Tribolium castaneum: one gene and its partner. The protein of the gene in region 2 purifies or fractionates together with the protein of the main gene of each other region. This does not show direct contact. Links are inferred from orthologs where the notes say so. Each region holds a gene or a part of one and is shown on either strand. Other genes may lie near its edges. The genes, in order: protein-L-histidine N-pros-methyltransferase and proton-coupled zinc antiporter SLC30A2.

Evidence for each region.
Region 1: the proteins of proton-coupled zinc antiporter SLC30A2 (region 2) and protein-L-histidine N-pros-methyltransferase purify together in Homo sapiens (co-immunoprecipitation; 3 studies listed by BioGRID and IntAct, with this or other methods). This does not show direct contact. The link is inferred for Tribolium castaneum from reciprocal best matches to the Homo sapiens genes SLC30A2 and METTL9.

The regions. Positions count from the first base shown.
Region 1 is NC_087394.1:24,600,252-24,610,258, reverse strand, and holds the start of protein-L-histidine N-pros-methyltransferase, read right to left. Parts: upstream 5,350-10,007; 5' UTR 5,105-5,349; coding exon 4,934-5,104; intron 4,447-4,933; exon of another isoform or gene 4,365-4,446; coding exon of another isoform or gene 4,326-4,364; intron 1-4,325. UniProt on the Homo sapiens protein: Protein-histidine N-methyltransferase that specifically catalyzes 1-methylhistidine (pros-methylhistidine) methylation of target proteins.
Region 2 is NC_087403.1:6,930,704-6,940,122, reverse strand, and holds proton-coupled zinc antiporter SLC30A2, read right to left. Parts: upstream 5,019-9,419; 5' UTR 4,831-5,018; coding exon 4,796-4,830; intron 4,749-4,795; coding exon 4,558-4,748; intron 4,412-4,557; coding exon 4,301-4,411; intron 4,253-4,300; coding exon 3,952-4,252; intron 3,907-3,951; coding exon 3,750-3,906; intron 3,702-3,749; coding exon 3,461-3,701; intron 3,412-3,460; coding exon 3,269-3,411; 3' UTR 3,189-3,268; downstream 1-3,188. Other genes in the region: NKAIN (sodium/potassium-transporting ATPase subunit beta-1-interacting protein), read left to right, coding at 6,820-6,873, 6,928-7,065, 7,118-7,201, 7,680-7,847, 7,901-7,961, 8,895-9,419.

The DNA of each region.
Region 1 (10,007 bases), on a different chromosome or scaffold from region 2:
TCTCTCTTATACAATCAAAGGAGAACAAACTGCATTCGACAACAACTACAATTAATCTAGAGAGAATTTTCAGACTCGAGAAACGACCATCATTCGTCTGCCAGACCAAAACTAAGCTCATTCCGGATTTTGCAATACATAGTTAAATGTGTGCACGTTTTGTCGTGTCAGCTCGCAATTCACGCATCATCGTGAATGTTTAATACAAGTCGCTCGGTGTTTTTCTCCAAAACCCTTATGTGAACGTGGCACATGCAAGGAGAAACTGGCGAGTGTGTGTGTCTCCCGGAGCCGTCCTCCTCCCTTTCCGGTCCCCGGATGCAAACGAGCTCCGAGATAGAGGCAAGAGACACCGGAGATCGAACGGTGATCGACTCGATGCACCTTCAGGATGCAGATTTGTGACGTTTAACGCGGTATAAACGACACTGGCTGTCTCACAGTCTCGTTTCGCATCCGTTTCAGCTTCAGATTTTCATCATCTAATATTCAGTCGAGTTTTATGTGGAAAAATGACGACCGAATTAAAAGGTGTGTGAGAAGAATGTCGAACCATTCAGAAAGTTAATTTATCCGTCTAGCGAGTTAATGAGATCCCGTAATTTTGGCTGTCGTAGTTAGTAAATAAAATAATTAGCGCCGGTCCGGCCCTGGATTATTTATAAAGTCGGGTGTTAACAGAAGAGACGGCGGGCACCTCCCATTCGTACCCTTTGAAATATGATTTTAATTAAGTTCTCATTATTTATGTTGATGAGGAGGCGAAGATAAGTGCAATGTTAATAACAATCATAACTCCGAACGGTAGCAAATAGTGGATGGAACGGGCCGGAATGCCATCGAGGCGGACCTGATAATTAAAACGGTCGGAATCCGGTCGGATTGTCGGGATCTGATATAGACCGTGTTTACATACCTGCCGACCGGCGATTTATTCATTTAATATTTAAATGGGATTACTACCGAAGGGAATTGGCGACCAGGTAGCCCACTATCGATGCTAATTCTCTCCGACAACTTGTTGGCTTGTTGGACACGAGCCGGCCCTGTTCTCGACGCGTTTACATTCTTCACGCACGCTTCACGACGGAAATATCAGGCAGGGACTTACCGAATTTTCGGCACGAAGAAAAAAACAGAAAATCGATTTAAAAACTATATTTTCTTCCTTCCTTCCACCCCACAAATGACAACTTCGTCTTTTAGACATGGAAAATGGAAATTTAACAATGAAACGTTATTAAGTACAAGTTGATGTGGACTCTTTTTATTTAACTTTTAACCTCTTCATTTTTCAAAGTCCAAGAAGTTACTACTTTTTTGTTTCCAAAAGGTTACAAATAAAGTGAAAAAAAGTTAAATATTTTTGTCTGATTACTTAATATGTAATTGCGAAAGGTTACTATCCAACACCAAAATGTCCCTTTGGACGAAAAAGTTTTTTGCGAAATTGAAGTTTTAAAAATGTTTTTCCTTAAAAGTCTGAGTATTTTTAAAAGAAGCTTGTCTCTTTTGTCGTTTGATGTACTGAGTTCAAATTTGAATCCCGCTGACGATCTTACTTTTTACTTTTTCAAGTAAATTTTGTGTGTGATGACGCGTGTGGTACAAGATACTTACATTTAATTTTTGGAATCTCCAATGACAATATACATATCTCCCGATTTGTCATAATAATAAAAACAACACACGCATATTATTATGACAAATCGGCAAAAAATTCAGAGAATCACATATTTTGTTTCAATGTTATAAGCTAGGAAAGCTTAGATACCGTACAAATTTTAAGTACATTTCTGACAAATCTTCAAATATTGATGATCGATGATAACATTTTGAAGAATTTTTTTTAAGAAATATTTAATAAACAAATCAGATAATATGCTACTAACTCTTTAATAAACTAATTTTATTGTTTCTCTTAAGAGGACACCTCCATTAACCAGACAAAAACGTGTCACAGTGGGTGTCCGTTTATTGGAGACTTCACTGTATTCAACTATCGCAAATCTCATAAATGTTTAAAATCTTCACATTCCAACTTAAATTTGATCACCTAATAATACTTGAAAATTGAAATTACATAGCATAATCAATAAATTTTCGGCCTTCAGATATCAAACGTGATTTTCCTAAATGTATCCAAACAAAAGGGTTTACTTACCCATTTCGTTTAAAGAAAGGAAAAATTGAAAATTTATTGAATAGTGTTTTATGTAATGGCCAGTAGATTTTTCATTTTTCGATTTTTTTCATTTTTGCATGCTCTCGTCACTATTAATTTATTCAAGCGTGCATCTCTCGGTCATTGTGAAATTCGGGTAGTAAGCGCGCGTGACAATTATGCGTTTTTTTGGAGGGAAGTTTGTCAAGGGACGTAGTTTACGAGCGGTCCCTAAGGTATGCTAACCTCCGGTTACGTACCTTCCCTTTTAGCTAGGCACTCAACGTGGCTCCCAGTCATAGTTCTATGCATCGCACGCCGCCACGCACCACTTCAACATATCGTTCGTCCTGATAATGTATTCGTATCGGGAAAAAGCTTCGCTACCGACCAGGAAAACGCATACGTTTCGTAATTTACACTTTGACGACGACGTTTCCGTCGAAGCAAAAGAAGGACTTTTGATGCCTGCGTGATGTATTCATGACGGGGGTTAACAAGAGTTTGTGTTCCCCAAATCTGACGCTACGATGAATATTTCAAGTTATTGCAGACGTTCGAAGAGGATACGAAGGGATTAAGGTGACGCTTTGTTTCTGCGAAAAGGGCGGCGGAGCAAAAATCGATGCTCAAAAAATAAAAGAATAAAAGATGAGATTTACACAATGCAAAATATCTAATGACAGGATACTATTGTTATTTTTATTCTGTACAAAAATTGCTTCAGCCCCAGAATAGCGTCTTGAAATTTCGAGTGATTAGTTTGTGTCAGTTGTTTCATTTTATGAAAATGTAGTTACTTGTGGCTATTTTTAAAGGATGCTGTCGTAAAGACGCTATTGTAATGGAATCAAAAAAGCAAAAATCGCTGTTAGCCGAGGCACCGCAATGGCATTGTATGCGATTTAAAATGCGGTCCCAATTAGAGCTTTTGAAGCTGTTATACATTGACGATCTTTTTGTTTTATCGCAAACATTTCGTAAACACAATCGCGATTATTCAGAGCCCGGCATATAATTGGCGTAAATAACGACCGGGCGCGCGTACGAAAAGAACCTTGAGACCCCTTTTTAAAAACTTATCCCGAAGAAGAATTGATCGCATTACAGAAAAATCTAAATCACAAATGATACAAAGGGAGTAAACTTTCTTATAAAAACTACATTCCATTGTACAAAATCCAGTTAACTCATTTCACAAGAGCGAGTCTCCTTTGCGAATTAAACATTCCGGATTGGAGCGAGCGGCAAATGTGAGATCGTGCTGATCATGGACCCGGACTGTATTCTTTTCTTTGAAGTATTTTAGGGAGCGGGCTCGGTAATGACGTTGCCGGAGTAATCCATGCATACACGGGCTCTGAAACTACCCCACACACACACATTCGGTTTCTTTTATTTTGCGAATCGCGAAAAGATTTGATGAAAATCCCCGGCTGCGAGGGGCGAGGGCCCAATCAGCGCCGAATTTAAGATCATTATCGAGCGTCGAACACCTCAAAAGGACGATTCAAACAAACGCTCGCGCCCCGAGATGGACCATTATCCGAAGGAAATCGATCGAAATGATAGCGCACAATGGAAAAATTTGCTCCCATACCCAAAAACAATTTTTAAAGGGTTTTTAAAGAAAAGACAGTATAACAAAAATGTACATTCTTTACTTTCTAATTTTTTTTTCATCAATTAGGTACTACTTTATTTCTTCTCGCATCCCTAAGCGGCTTCTTATGGATTAGTCCGTTATGACACAAATACCAAAAATAGAATTGCAAAAATTATACACCCAATAAGAAAGTGTTTTACTGATCGGTTTTATAAAAACTGCTAATTAAGTAAATTAGCTTTATTAATTAGGTACTATTATTTTTAGACCATCCGATTAAAAAAAAACAATAATTTTGTGGTTCCAAGTCAAGTTTTTATTTACAGAAAAAGGGTAATATTCAGTCGAGATATAGATTTTTTCGAGTATTGAAAAACTTCATTTTCTAGCAATTTAAATGCACAAACAGATAAATAAGACCCCACCAGATCTAAATTATGCAAAAGACAAAACGTGCGGTTTTATCGATATGAAATAACGCTCATTACAGTCACGATACTCTATTTACTCATATCCACCACGCCATCTCCGAAGAACTCCTAAAAAATTACCCACCTGGACACTCAACATGACCTTAGACTTCTCGAAAAGCATCTTCGTGAATCAAGTACCGCACAACAAACCATCATCACCTTGACTGAACAATAAATGTCTTAATCGTGGGATTCTGATAAGATAAGAAGTCATAAAACGAATTCTGGTTTGCCAAAAGCGGGCAAGTAACGAATTCCCTGTTTAGCAAATTGGTTTATTCGAAAACGTTTAATAAAAATATGCAGTTTATAAAATCCCCGATTGTGCGTCGTTGGTGTATCTGGGGAGTTTCGACGCAAAATTGAATCGGGACTCTATGCCCACGTCCTCCGAGTCGCCCCCGCCATAACCAACGTATCCATAAAATATTCACAAAGCAAATACTGATTTATTATTGAGTAATTGTTAATGATTGGTGGACGCTTTGATGACCTACACGTAAAGAAAATTGACGATAATTGGGTTTGCACAGCTACATGGATTATTTATGTAATCATTGTTCATAACGAGGGGAAAAGAAAGCAAAGAAACCGAACGAAAACGCTCGTTTTTCAATCTTGTTGAAAAAACCTAGGCAAGGGGCGATTTTCAGGCACAGCAAGCACACAATCATTAGCGTGTTTACTGACCTGGCTCTTGTCAAACTGACTCAGGAAGTGGTCCGTTTGCTGCTTCTCGTACAGAGCCCGCGCGAGGCCCCCACGAGGCTTAAAATTCAACGTGGGCCCTATGTCCTGATCGAGACAAAAATCACGATCCGGTCCTGATGAACTTTTGTAACAAACACCATCGTCCACCATCGCGGAAGAGTTGAATAAACAATGAATTTGATGACAGACAAAAGTGAGGTTATGCGGCACGAATTCACAAATTTACGCACTGAATTGTCTCAAGTAGTACAAAAATTGGTAGGTTTTGTAAAATCACAAAAAACGTATGTTAGGGTCAGGGAATTGGACACGTAGGAACGGTTTTAGAGCGTATTTGCTTTCACTTTTGACAGTTATAGAGTCATTGAGTTGGCAGCGCTGGATTTGAGATGACAAGAAACTACTAGGCGCGTAATTTGAATCAATTTTCGTGGGCTCGTTTTGATAAAAATGACTTGTCAGAATAATTAGATTAAATTCGAAAGTTGCATTGATCGTTTCGTGGAATTGTTCTTTAGAAATGAGCTGAGTAACAAGTTGTAATGAGTCTTTTGCAAGTAATTGCGTAATTGTCAAAAATATCTTCCATACATTACATTAATAACCGAGGTGAAAATCAGTTTTGAGCGAGAGCCGAGGTCCATTAACAAAAACCAGTAGCACGATGTTAATTTGAAAGAGATTTTCTTTTTTGTTCCTCGATGGACGTATTATGAAGCAGTGGCTAATGTACAGGTCTACCAGATGGAATTACAATTCACATTAATCTCAATTGTTCGGGGAGAAAATAAAGAAGACGACGTTGGTTCATTTCGGTAGCCAAACAAGAGCGACTTAAAGTTAATTAAGAATGAAATTATGACTGTATGCAGTTTGAGTGCAAAGTGTTGAAAATTGAAATTTTAATTAATCTTGGGCAAGACGAAGAGGGGCAAAAAGCTTTCATTAAGACGTGACTGGAGGAAATCGTGTCCGAGGAAAAAACCGACATTGAGTTTCGAGTAATTTAAATTTAATTATAATCCGAAATTTATACACAAACAAAAATCCAATTAAAACGGCGGAATTAAATTCGAGAAACGTTTTAACACGCGAAATCTCTAAATCGCATAAAAATTATCCGTGCGCATGATACTTTATTAGTGTCGAGACGTCGGCGAGGAAAACCGACCCAACTTACCGGACCCTTAAGGGCCGGAATTCCTTAAGGATTTTCCCGGTTTTTTAAATTGCATCGTGTAATTTCTACTCGAGTATAAATGAGGTTTTTTAATTGGAAATCCGAGCTGCGATCCGGAGGGACAAGAGGGCGTATAGTTAGCGATTTATTTTAATGAGAGTTTCGTTTCTTACGCCGAATCGCATGCCAAGTAGTCCAATAACGAAATATTATTACAATCGCTCTTTGCAGCTTTTATTGCCCTTTTTTCATTCGACGGTAATGAACGTCGTAAAATCCTATTAAAATCGTTGATGTGCCGGGGAAACTCCTTAATATAAGCCCCCACACAAATTATTTTACCTAATTCTCACGGAATCGATACGAGGTGGAGCTTTTTCGTGATCTTTTACTACATCGAAAATAAATTATTATCAAATGTTTGGATAAGCAATATTTTTATTGATGTCACAGCATTTCGTCATATCACGACCATATCAATCGAATATTGATTCCAACCCCAATCTGTCAACCTTCAACACCGCCGCCAACAACCTATGAAAACAAAAAAAAAACAGTGGACAAACGAAATCGTAATTCCCACAGCGTTTCAAAAGTAATCATAAAACCGTAGGATCCCAAAAATATTTTTATTTTTTTCGGACATTGAACTTGTCTTGTATTGAAGGCTACTTGTTACATTTGATTAAACTTAAAATACATCCTTGGGTTCCTTTTACCGTATTTTTATTGAAATAACGCAAGAACAACTTAAGATTCTAATAAAAACCTCGTTACAGCGTTCCATCAATTCATAATTCCCGTTCGTATCGAATCAAAAAAAACCTCCTCGTGTTTTTCGATTAATTACAAATTCCGTGAATATTTCCTAAATGTTCGCCACTTTCGAACAATTTTAAAAGCGACAAAAAATTGTCATTAAGCACATGAAGGTTATTAAAAGACTTTTTACAATGCACCAATTAGTCGCTGGCTACATTATTGTTCCGTGAATAATTCAAAAATGACAATTGAGTGAAATTTTTTGCGCGACACTTAATAATGGAAAAATAATAAATATTACCGTACACTTCCTCCTCATTGTAATAATTATTGTCGGAAAGAAATACGCTGCTTACGTAACCGATTTATGTACGTTGGAAATTTTGTGGTGAATTATCTGCAGGAGTTCACCCGCGGAGCTTTCTCTCATATCGAGGATTTATGCGACGAGGAGTGGAAAGGCGAACTTGAGGAGCAACGAGATTTTTTGTTTTTGTAAGACATGTGAAACAAAAAAATGCAAATAGAGCAGATCAACAATAATGACGAGAAAGTTAAAAGTGATGAAATTGGTTTAAGAATAATTAAACACTCAAAAACTTTGCATAGTTTAACAAGCTGAATGCTCTGACGCAAATTAATTTAATTCTAATCTCAAAAGTGATCGAAAAAGTGCCCCAAATCGCTTTCATATACTTATTGTAATGGTTGATGGTCAGTTAGCCACCCATTATTAAAAGATCTACTTATTATTCTTGACAGCAAGCAATGTTTCTTGCATCGTTCCGGTTCGTGAAAACAAGTAAGTCTTTATTATGTAAAATATGGAGAAAGTTCGGTGAGTTATGTTATCGGCTGCACCCTGTATATAGGAGTGCACTTAATTGTGTGAAAATCCCTGAAATTAGTCTTCAGCTTTACTAATTCAATTTCGAGTAAGTTGCGTGTTCCGATCGGATTTAATTGCTTAACGATTGCTCCGAGTGCTTTAAACTCTGTCATTATAATTAATCAAGAGAGTAAAACATAAAAAGCCGACGTTAAATGGCATTCCAGAAGTGCACTTTACGAAATTAAATTTCTGGTCTGAGGAAGGATTGCCCGTATTTATTAAAAAAGTAACAACAGGTACAATATCATAATTTAGCTGTAATTTTATAAAATTATAATACTACTTTTTGAGAATACTTTTTTATTTTTTTATACAAGGTTTGTCAGAAATACGCGTGTTAATTTTAACAGGTAACAGAGTTCAACAAATAAAAGATTTTTTCTATTTGTATTTTTTCAATAAAATTATAGTACTAAACTATCGTAAACTAAACTCTTGTTTTTTCAAAAGTGTGTTTAAAAACGTTAGGTTATATCGGTGTGCCAAAAGTCTCTGGAAATGGATATAGTGGTCTTATTGACCGCTAAAAATAAATAAGTAAAAAATAATAGAAAAATAGAAAAATAATAGAAAATAGAAAAATAATAGACCTGACCTGACCTGACCTGACCGCTAAAAATAAATAAATAAAAAATAGAAAATAATAGAAAAAAATCATTGCTCCTTATTTAAGATGCAGCAGCTCGTCAAAATTGGAATTGTAGGAAAATCAAACTTGTTAGCTTTGTTTTTAATGATTTATTTTAATGTTTACTTGACTTATTATCAATTTTTTCAAAAAGAATTAGGAAATCATTTCTTTTGGTTTTTAAAATGAGTTAAAAATACCAGTTTAAAAGTGCAGCAACATTTAGTAATGTTACCATGGTAATACTTTTGGTAAATATTTTTCTAAACATATAAAAATAGGTACACTTGTACGGCGTTGCCATTTTTTGTTTTTGATTTTAGCCAAATTAAAGGTTTTGTGATTTTTTTTATCGAAAATAGTGTTCTGTATAAGCTCTATCTAGGTGCTCTTAAGAGCCTATCCGCAACATTTAACACACCTGATACATAGAGGATAGTTATTTTTAAAAATTACTTTGAATATTTTGAAAGTGGATTAAAAAAATCACTAAATTTTATTTAGGTAATCTTGAATTACCGATTGACAAGTAAAATAAAACGTTCATATAAGTAGTTTAGTAAAATATTTCTATTAATTTTATTTGATTTGATTATTTATTTGTTTTAACAAGTTTATACGTTTTCCACAAGTCACAGTAGATAGATGATTAAATTATTAAGCTATTAAAATTAGATACATCATTTAAAGAATCCCTCCGAGCTGTACAAACAATTTGTTTTCAAAAAACCTTTTTATTTTAAGTTTTCAGTTATTTAAATATAGATATGAACGGAGAAAGTTTGAAATCATATTATAGTTTTTTTAAACATAATGGAAATAGCGTTCTGGTTATTTTTGCAAAAATTAATTTTTAGGATTGTATCCTCTGGGTCTCTAATTGGGGCTTTAAGATTTTACAAAAATGTGTCATTTACTCGTTTAGGTTATAACTTTCGTTAAATTTCAAGACAAAAACTTGATTGTTCAGAGTGTTGGAAAATAGCCTCATTTTTCAAGTGTTTTTTTGAAGTATGTACAATTAAAAATGTGAATAAATTTCGATCGAGAGGTTATTATTGAAGCGTGAAATAGTAATCCGGCGATGTAACAATTAAGTTTGATGAACCTGAGTGTCGGTTTTTCTCTCTGGTAAGGACAGATTTGAGACGGTCATGTCATTACCTGAGGTAATTCGATTGGTAATTTGCGGTCTGGCTGACAATGACCGTTCCTCCACGCGTCGGAAACAAATCTGTAATTGTACATCAAACTCTAATCACACTGCCCAACATTCTTCGGATAATATTCCATCTTCAATCAAGGACGGTCGCTCGGCTGGAACGTTTTCGAGACGAGAATCGATCGTAATGTAGCGTTTAGCGCTGTTCGAAATTATCATTTTTATTCCAATAAAAGAGGGAAAAAAAATGACGATTTTCGGGTGTATGTTGGTGCCTGGATCGGCGATTAAATAATGAAAGAGTAATGAATGTGACGAGTTGTTTCTCCCTCGCCTTGATGCGTATTAGGGTCCCCTTGTACGCGGGTTTTATTTATTCATAGCAATTATGAATGTCAAAATTTGAGAAATAATAATAACAAGGACACA
Region 2 (9,419 bases):
AATATTTTGCTGAAAGTGTGTAGTAATTGGTTTTAGCGATGTGATGGGTGTGAGTTGATGACGTCATGCAAATATCAAAGATTTTTTACTTTGATTATTGGAAAATTTATCATTCGTATTTTGCGATTTCTTTATTGCATCATCAAAACGGATGCGATTCCGTTGATTAAAAACAATAGCATATTTCAAACAAGGATTTACAAAAATGTCAAGTGTGCTATTGATAACAATGATAAATGTTTCGAGTTGAATGAGTTTTTTTCAAAATAGGCGGACACAAAACTCCCCCGTTCTACTGTTCTCACAGTAGAACTTGTGTAATTGTTTTTGTGATTACATTCTCATTTTATTATTTACATTTTATAGTTTTGGTGCAAAAATGCACTCAATAAATTAAGGTCGTTAAACTCCAATTGGTTAATAATAATGATCATTGCAAAATATGTACCTATAATGTGCTAAAAATAAAACGCTGAAGTTGCAGTTTATTAATTAACGTTAAAGTAGGTCCACAAAAATATGTTATAAATAAAATACCTACAAATATTACAATTTCAAAATCATAATTTTGTCAAACGCTTTGCTTATTATTAATATTAATATACGAGGTGATCTGTTATTTTGCTCCATAATAATATACGTGATTTTTCAGAAATTTTTTACCATTCTTTTTGATTAAAAATTAAACATTTCCGCGTAAATAATAACAATTAATTAACCAATATTTATTTTTGCATCGTGGGAGTACGGCCCATTTACGTTTAATTTGGTGAATGTGAAAGTGGCTAATACCTAACCGTTAACAAATTAACAAAGCGGTACAAAGTTGCAGTTTACCAAAATATCTGATTGCAATTTGTGTTATACAATGAATTTATCTTTTTCTTTCGCACTTTGCACTTGTTGCACGTTCTCTGTTCCAATAACCTTCCATTGGAAAAATACTCATTGAAATGTTTTTATTTGTTATTATGATTTTTAAAGCAATGTAGTCAGGTACACAATTATTTTGCTCATACCATGATTGTAAGTTATAACGTAATCAGAAAATCGGCGAGTTTTTAATAAAATTGCACGTAACCAATTTCGTGCAAATACGGACGTAAAAAAATTGAATAAACGTCTTATTAATTAATGCTCTTGATTTTTAGGAACAAAGTGCGTAACAATTACGTCGAAAGCATGACGACGTTTTGTTTGCTTTGCTGATAAACTGATGCTATTTTGATAAGTTTACCAAGTATTACTATAATCCATTAGTGTCATAGAAGGGCAAAACCGTTTCATTATTTTTTAATAAAACCTATTTTGGCTGTTCTTTCAGAGTAAAACAGACAGTATTATAGGAGAATAAAATAAGAGTTTATTTATAATTATGGCTAGTAAATTATTTTAATTCTCAAGTACATCTTAAAACACGTTACTGTTATTATTGGTTTTGCAAAAATTAAATTGGCGAGACATTCGCTTGAGTCAGAAATCTTGACATTGTCTGTATCTTAATTATATAAATTAAAGTATATCGTTGACCCTACCCTGAAACTAGTCTTTTACGATGTATATTAAGCAGTTCAATGAATTAATAATCTATTTTGTACATCACATGACACGTGACACTGAATTTTATGGCCACTTTCTAGTTTATCGTATTTTAAAATAAACGCCCTCATTTCAAATTATCAGTGCGAAATTTTAATATAAACACATTAAAAATGTGTCTAACAGTAACAATAACGCTGTGTTTGTTATTACTTGCACACATTCGACTCTAACTTTAGTGCATACTTGTATATCCATCGCCCAAAAAAATTATCTTTTAACATTACCACTGGTCACCCATATTTATGTAATAGTTAGAATAACCTATTTAAATATTTACTGCACGCGTGTTTGTACATTCATCGCTGGTTCGTTTTTAATGTAATAAACAATTATTTCAGGATAATAGAAAAGCGAAATTTCAAAAATAACCCATATCGCAAGTAAATTATCAGAAAAAATAATTGCATATAAATGAGTTTCCTTGAAATAGTTTTTGTTGCAATAAATAGCAAATTTTTTAATCAACGGTTGCTGGACAATTTAATCAGTGTTATTAATTTGGTTTTTGTGTACACTTATAAAATTAAAATATGTAGTTTAGAGTCCCAAGAAGAATCTGGGCAAATTATTATTTTGTATAACCTAATGAGAGCCTTGACTATGTTACCAATTTCTCGTAATTCAATGTCATTATGAAGCAGATTTCCTGATCATAAATATATTTTTAATTTGCTGTTTCCTTAATTCCTATTTCCTCTGGGTTAGTGGTTACCCCAATAATTAACATTGATCGGATTTCGATGATAACCGGTGATTTCTTTAAATCTCTTTTCTTAGAACTCTGCAGACAGAGGACACTAAATGTACCTATCCTATAAAACAACCTTGGCCAAGGTGAATATTATACAAATTTTTGCAGACCAAACGCGTGTAAAACACTTACCTTCTTTTACATAAAAATGTGTTTCCATGCAATTTTACTTTATCTTACGTAAGATTTACAGAAAGGTACGCAAAATTCCACACACTAAAAACCTACCTTTTTACTTTTTAATACTGAAAATTAAAAAAGTGCACGTTTTCGTCCCAATTTATACCCTTGAAAATTAAAAGCGTCAGGTCCAAATAAACATTTTAATTCGCACGGAACATACAACTATACAAGTGACCTTTTGCGTTGAATATTTTATACGTAAAGTACGTATAAATGTAAAATGTTGCTCTGATTTATTGCACTTGTTACAACCAAAAACAAATTTATTACCAAACAACAAAAAATAAAAAAGGATTTTATTAGACGTTATACTTTTTCAAATGTTGAGTTGTTTTCACAAGCTATAAAAAAGACATTTTTATATATAGTAACACTATCGATAATGCTGTTTAAATTTAAAGCTTTACAAAGTTTAAGAGCAACTCGTTACAATTATAAATAATTCAACATCTTTATTTACACAAGCCAAAAGAATGTCATATTACATTTTTATATCATATCAATTCATCTGGTTTTATTTTTTATTGCAAATAATTAAATTGGAACAAAATGTCATCAGAAAGAATTAGAAACTAATCGCTTATGAATTTTTTATCTAAGGATTAAGTACGTGGAGGAATGAAAGGATACATGCGATAATAAAACACGTCAGTAGGATGTGTAAATTCGTTTAGGTTTTTGTAATAGAATAAGTATAATGACTGTTAATAAATATTTAGTGAAGGATGATGTTTATACCGGATTTCGGCACATTTTACAGTCTTCCATGGCCTCTTGGAACTCCTCGATCTGCAGTGTCATCTCAAAGAAGTTGTATTTATCATGAATATTTTTAGTAGCGACCATTAAAACATTTTGTGGATTCACATCAGGACCTGGAGCGTTAATTTTAATAGTGAAATTCAATTTGCGGTAAAATATTACTAATAGCAACATGAGCAGACATTGCAATTTTATCCAAACTTAGGCCCCATATTCTCAAGTTATGAACTCTTTTAACTCCTTCTATATTTAGAAGCGTTTTCATGACTTGATTGAAATCAATTCCTTTGGGAGCTCCTTCCATCAGCACTGTTAACGTATCTTTGATAATATTGAACGTGGTAAACATCACTAATACTGAAAAAATGAAGGTACAGATGGGGTCAATTATGACCCATTGTTCCTGAAATTACAATTTCGTAAAAATAATTTAGCGTTTTTTCCCAATTACGTTGAAATAAATCACAGCAGCGGCCACGAAAACACCAAAACTTTGCAAAAAGTCGCCGATAACGTGAATAAAAGCCGCTCTGACGTTGATGTTATCGTGGGAATGTGTGCTACCACCTCCATGGGAATGCCCATGTTGGTGGAGTGTTAAACCCATTCTGAAAATTACCATGGAGCTTAGCTAGTTAGAGCAATTTACTCACATTAAGTTCACAATAACGCCGATACCGGAGGTGATTAGCATTACTTTACTATCGATATCAAAGGACTTATGGATGACTCTTTGTACGGCAATGTAGACCAGTATTCCAGTAACTACCCAAATTAGTAGGACGGAAGTCAGAGCACCTATCACTTCAGCGCGGTACCACCCAAAGTGCATTGTCTTGGTGGAGGGCCTAGTTGCCATCCATAAGGCAAACAGAGATATCATAAAACTCGCAAAGTCGGTAAGAAGGTGAGCGGCATCAGAGGCTATTGCCAAGCTATTTGACAGGTAGCCACCTAAACTCGGAAAATTAAAGCCAAAATAACAATGAATAATTTACCCACCTATAACTTCTCCGATCATGAAAAGTACACATAATACACTAGCTACAATTAATTTTCGCCTAGCTTTGCGATCAATTTCCGGAGATTTCCCTCGATGGCAATGTTTATTAACTGAAAAAAGACGGCAAATACAGTATTTTTTAATTAATTGGGAAAATAATTTTTGAAGAACGTAGGCTAGTCTGCTACTTTTTGTTCAGCCTGTTTGCTGTGAAATCATTTGGTGCTTATCGTGTGATAAGCGGCCGACAACTTACTCATTTCGGTGGCATCCTGATTTTCTTTGGTCGGTGTATCAACCGAATCTCCCTCTTTGATGTCGATGACTTCACTTTGTAAAACTTTGCAGCAACCAGCACTTGGTTTTCCATGAACACAAAATATCACTTTTTTAGGAGTGCCGCTACTGTCACTGTGCATTGCTCCGTATTTGTTACTATTATTTAAACTAGAAATAAATACTATCGCGAGATACCAGAGTTTTGAGATACTTACAATAGAAGAGACTTATTTTCGTTTTCATCCTGCATTTTTATGGCTATTCAACCACTTGCCAGTTTGTTTTTCATTTACGTGGGCACGGATTAATCTCAGAATGTCAGAATATGTTCATGTTCAGTTTCTGGGCAATAAGTTATTGTTATCTTTGTGAACTAAGGAGTGTTTGTGCACCCGGCCCGACAGTTTCTTATCTATTTCAAGTAGGTACCTAGTTGAATAAATACAAACAAGACGTTGATTTCTAAAGAGTGTTTCTAATCTGCGCTTATCAGATTCAATCACTCGACTAATTTTTAATAAATCACCTATAAAATATACCCATTAATCCACCTAGACAGTGATTTCTAATTGGTAATCGTTGTTGCATTAACTGTTTTTTTTCTCCAGAAACCAGAAATAATTATATATGATATAAATCAAGAGACGGATTGAAAATCATTTAGATATATCTATTTCCAATCACTATCAAACTGAGAATTATTAATTACTAGATATTAAGGGTCTTACGACCCTTAAATGAATATTTGAAAATTACATATAGTAGTATAAATTTAGTGACATCTCTTAGAAGCATCTAAGACTAAAATAACTTATATTATAAAGAAAACTGTAATGCTATACGTAGAGGCGGGAATTCATCTTTTTTCAACTCAAGTTTTACTTTCGCTTTGTACATATTTATGGTATGACATTTTTATATGAGTGGACGTGTTTTGTCAATAAATTAGTAAACCAAAAAAACAAGTGATTCAAGTTTCTGATATACTGGGGCATTTTGTCGTGAAAGAATAAACTCTGCACGTTTACAAAACAAAAAACCCGTTTTTTTCTATAAAAATTTGACCAGATAAAGTCTTTTTTTTAATAATAATAATAAAATACCAAAAATAATCACTGAAAAAGTCCAAGTTATCCAACTTATTGAAAATAAAGAATTCAATGTTTTTCTTAATTATGGCAAAATTATTGGACAAAGTGGAACTATTTTAGCCTAAACCTATGTAAAATGACCCGGGGAATCGATTGGCATTAAAAAGATCGCCAAATTTTGAATAGTTTTTTAGTTATGAAGCTTTTTTTTAAACTATGAACTGCAGAATAAAGATAGATAAACTTATAGGGTTTTCTCTAACAGTTCCGGAGTTATTTCAACCTAAATGTTCCGAGTACCAAAAATCAACAAAAATCTCGACGAAAATTAGAAAAATCACCGTTTATAATATTGTAAAAAACTAGTATAATTACGTAAAAGGAACGGTAGAGGAACACAATTAAAAAAAAAACAGTCGTGATTATTTCTTGTGTTTATTGCATATCTTTGTTTAAATAAATTACTTCAACAGTACGTTTCAATAATTCAAGTGAGAAATGTTCAATAATTGATTAAATAATTTGTTGTTTCCATGACGATGAGGTAAACAAACCTTCACATCCAGTCTACAGGTGATTGTGTCAAAAATGCGAGCTATGCATGAAGCAAAGCTTCATGGTGCTTTCTGTACTAAATTATGTGGCAATTTTTTCTTTTCTCTTGTTTTTGGCTCTGACGGCCTACGTTTTGGTGAAATATTTAAAGCTTCGCGCCGGTTCTTTGAACCGTCACCGTCTTTACATCAATACACCAGTGGTCTTCACGAGTAGCACGGGAGTATACTTGAGGAAAGTGAAATTCCGGCAAAACACTCGAACTAATGTTATTAAATTACGCCAAAAGAACTTAAAAAACGCTGCGGAGATTTACAGTATGAGTGTCTGTGACGTCCCGCTTCAAACTTACAACATTTTTTGAATATTTGGGGATATTTCTCTCTCACGGGCAGCCGTTTTAGTGACTTGAGTGAAATGTCAAATAAAAGTGTAAAGTAGTGTAGCTTAGACTCAAGTTTTTTCTGTTGTGTGTAATTGTTTACGAATTTTTTTATTTAAATAATGATGATGGTTAAGTGGGTGGTTTTTGCGTTGTCTAGGCTGTTGTAAAAAGGTTTAACGAAAGATCAACCAGGAAAAGGCTAAATGTCATGGGATTTTGCTCAAGAAGATACTTTTTTTTATCAGTTTGTCTCTTACAAATGGTAAGGCTCGTTTCATTGTTCTTTTGATATTGTAATTGGCAAACTTCCATTTAGTTATCAGTTATCGAGAGGCAGGTGTTTGATTTTCTGGGATTTTTGTGGATACCAATTCTTGTGAACTTCTTTGAAATTATTTTCATAATACTGGGATTTTTTGGTGCATATCAATATCGGCCTAAATATATCATATCGGTGAGTATTTGCTGGTTTTCCTTCAACAATTGTACGACTTTGTTTATTTTAGTACATTTTGTGGCACCTTTTCTGGTTGGGTTGGAACGTTTTCATCATTTGTTTATATTTAGATGTAGCCAACTTGGACCATAAGGTATAACAGTCATGCGCCATAACTTTAAAAAATGACTGCAGGAAAGTTAAACAATCACGATTTTTTATTTGCAAAATTTTGGTCAGATTGTGTAATTACATTTTTCGTAATCTAAAATATTTAATAGTGCTTTTAGTCTATAGTCTCTGTTGTAAGAAGTGTTCATTTTCTTTTTACTTTTGTTTCATATTTTCGAGCCAAATTTCCCGTTGTTCGAATGAATTGAAATTTTGCATACTTACGTAATCTAGGTGACAATGCAATTTTATGTAGTTACTTACTCCCTAAAGAGAATAAGTAAAAACTTAAAAGCAAAAAAATAAAAAAATATATAAAATGTTTTTTAACTTTTATTAAAAAAATGCAAAAACGAGTTCTGTTTAAATCCTAATATCTTTGGCAGCAATAAATAAGGAGTGAGGCCTTAAACAGGGTTCACTTTTTTCTAGCCACCCGATACAGTTTTCTAATTTTGTAGACTAATAAAGTGCTCAAATTGGACCCAAAGAGTGAGAGCTGGTGGAGTAACGAGGGACCAGGATGTAAGCGCATTTTGAGTGAATCCTATCAGACTGCTAGTGAGAATTGTCTTGTAAATTACGTACACGTTGAAATATTCCAGGCAGGGTTACAATGTGTGGCTTCTGTATGTTTGTTCTTTACTGTTTGTTACAAACACTGATCTATTGTATTTTTCAGTTAATCGGAATTGTGATTGGAATTTGTTTAAGTCGCATATTTTTAGAGGAAGATGATACTTGTAAGTTGCCCTTGTGCGTGTATTATTTGTAGATTGTAGGTATTTTACTAACTCACATTGTGTATAATAAAGCTTCACTTTTAATTGGCTGGTTATGTCATTATAATCAGCCAATAATTTTATGATTAATCTGCTTGCAGTTGATTTCATTGGTGGATTTGATCCTCAAACTGTGTGGTAAGTGGTAAATGGGATGCAATGGTAAACTCTTCTTAGTGTTTTGTAATTTAAATTATTCTTTCCTGTAGTGTAGTAGTTGCTATTTGATACTCTATTTTCAGTTAATTATGAAGATGGTAAAGGTCCTGAATATTTTTCTTTACATCCGATGTACGTGAGCACCAGTGATGGCCTTAATCAGCATTTTTCCAAACCTAACACTAAATTAAATGTAAAGTCGAACGCTTCTGTTTCACAGACTTGCCCGCAGTGCCGTAAGCATGCGGGCAAAAACAAAAATCCTTTACGTGCTGACACTATAAGATACATACAACGCAGTACTTCCTTTAACGCCTTAAATGCACCAAAACGCAAACGCTCACCTAGGCCCAAGTCAATCGCCGCCAGACCTTATTTCGATTCAGATCTCAACTTTTAAGACTTTGCATTTAATAACAACCCAGCAAACACAACTGCTATTGATTTTCTGGAAGAGCACAATTTATTTTTACATAAGATGGTAGCGTTGTCTCTGCTGGAACGTTTTGTTTCTAGTCATTATTGTTTTTGTTTTGTTTAAATGGTAATAACTGGCGTTAATATATTTGGATTGGATTATGACTAACGAAAAGTTGGCATTAACATGACTGTTTAGCTTGTGGTAGCTAGTGCATGTTTGTTGATTAACAAATAAATTATAATTTTTGTTTTGACGTTGAATTGTATTATTGTGCCTCGGCATTTCTCGAAACTAAGAATCGGCTTTTTTGGCAGCATCACGTAAATCGTCACGAAAAAACACAAAACGAATGTCTCTCTACTCAATCGAATTTAGCTCTCAGCTGGAGAACCGTCATGACAGTGATAACGAGTTCGATAACGAGCATTTGCCGCAACCAGTTTCCCCAAAGCCGATGACACCTCGAAGAGTAAAGCGCCGTAGTGTCATGACAAGGGGTTCCTCCGGCAGACACAGCACCATCAGCAGCAGTAGCAGAAGACATTCGACCGCACGCTCGTCCACAAGAAGCTCCCGTAGGATGACGCAAAACCCAGTTACGCGTTTGTTGGAGCAGCAGCAAAAAACGCATGCTTACGATAGCCCAGCTAGTCCCTCTCCCCCCATTGATTCCCCACTCCCCAACTACTACAACAGTGTGTCTAACAACAACCTGGCGATTCACCAGAATTGGCAACATAATGGCCATTCAAACCCCACATACCAACAATCTTCCACGCAATCACTCAACGATACCGAAGATTTTGACGACTTGTATAACAATAGACCGGCTTCGGTCA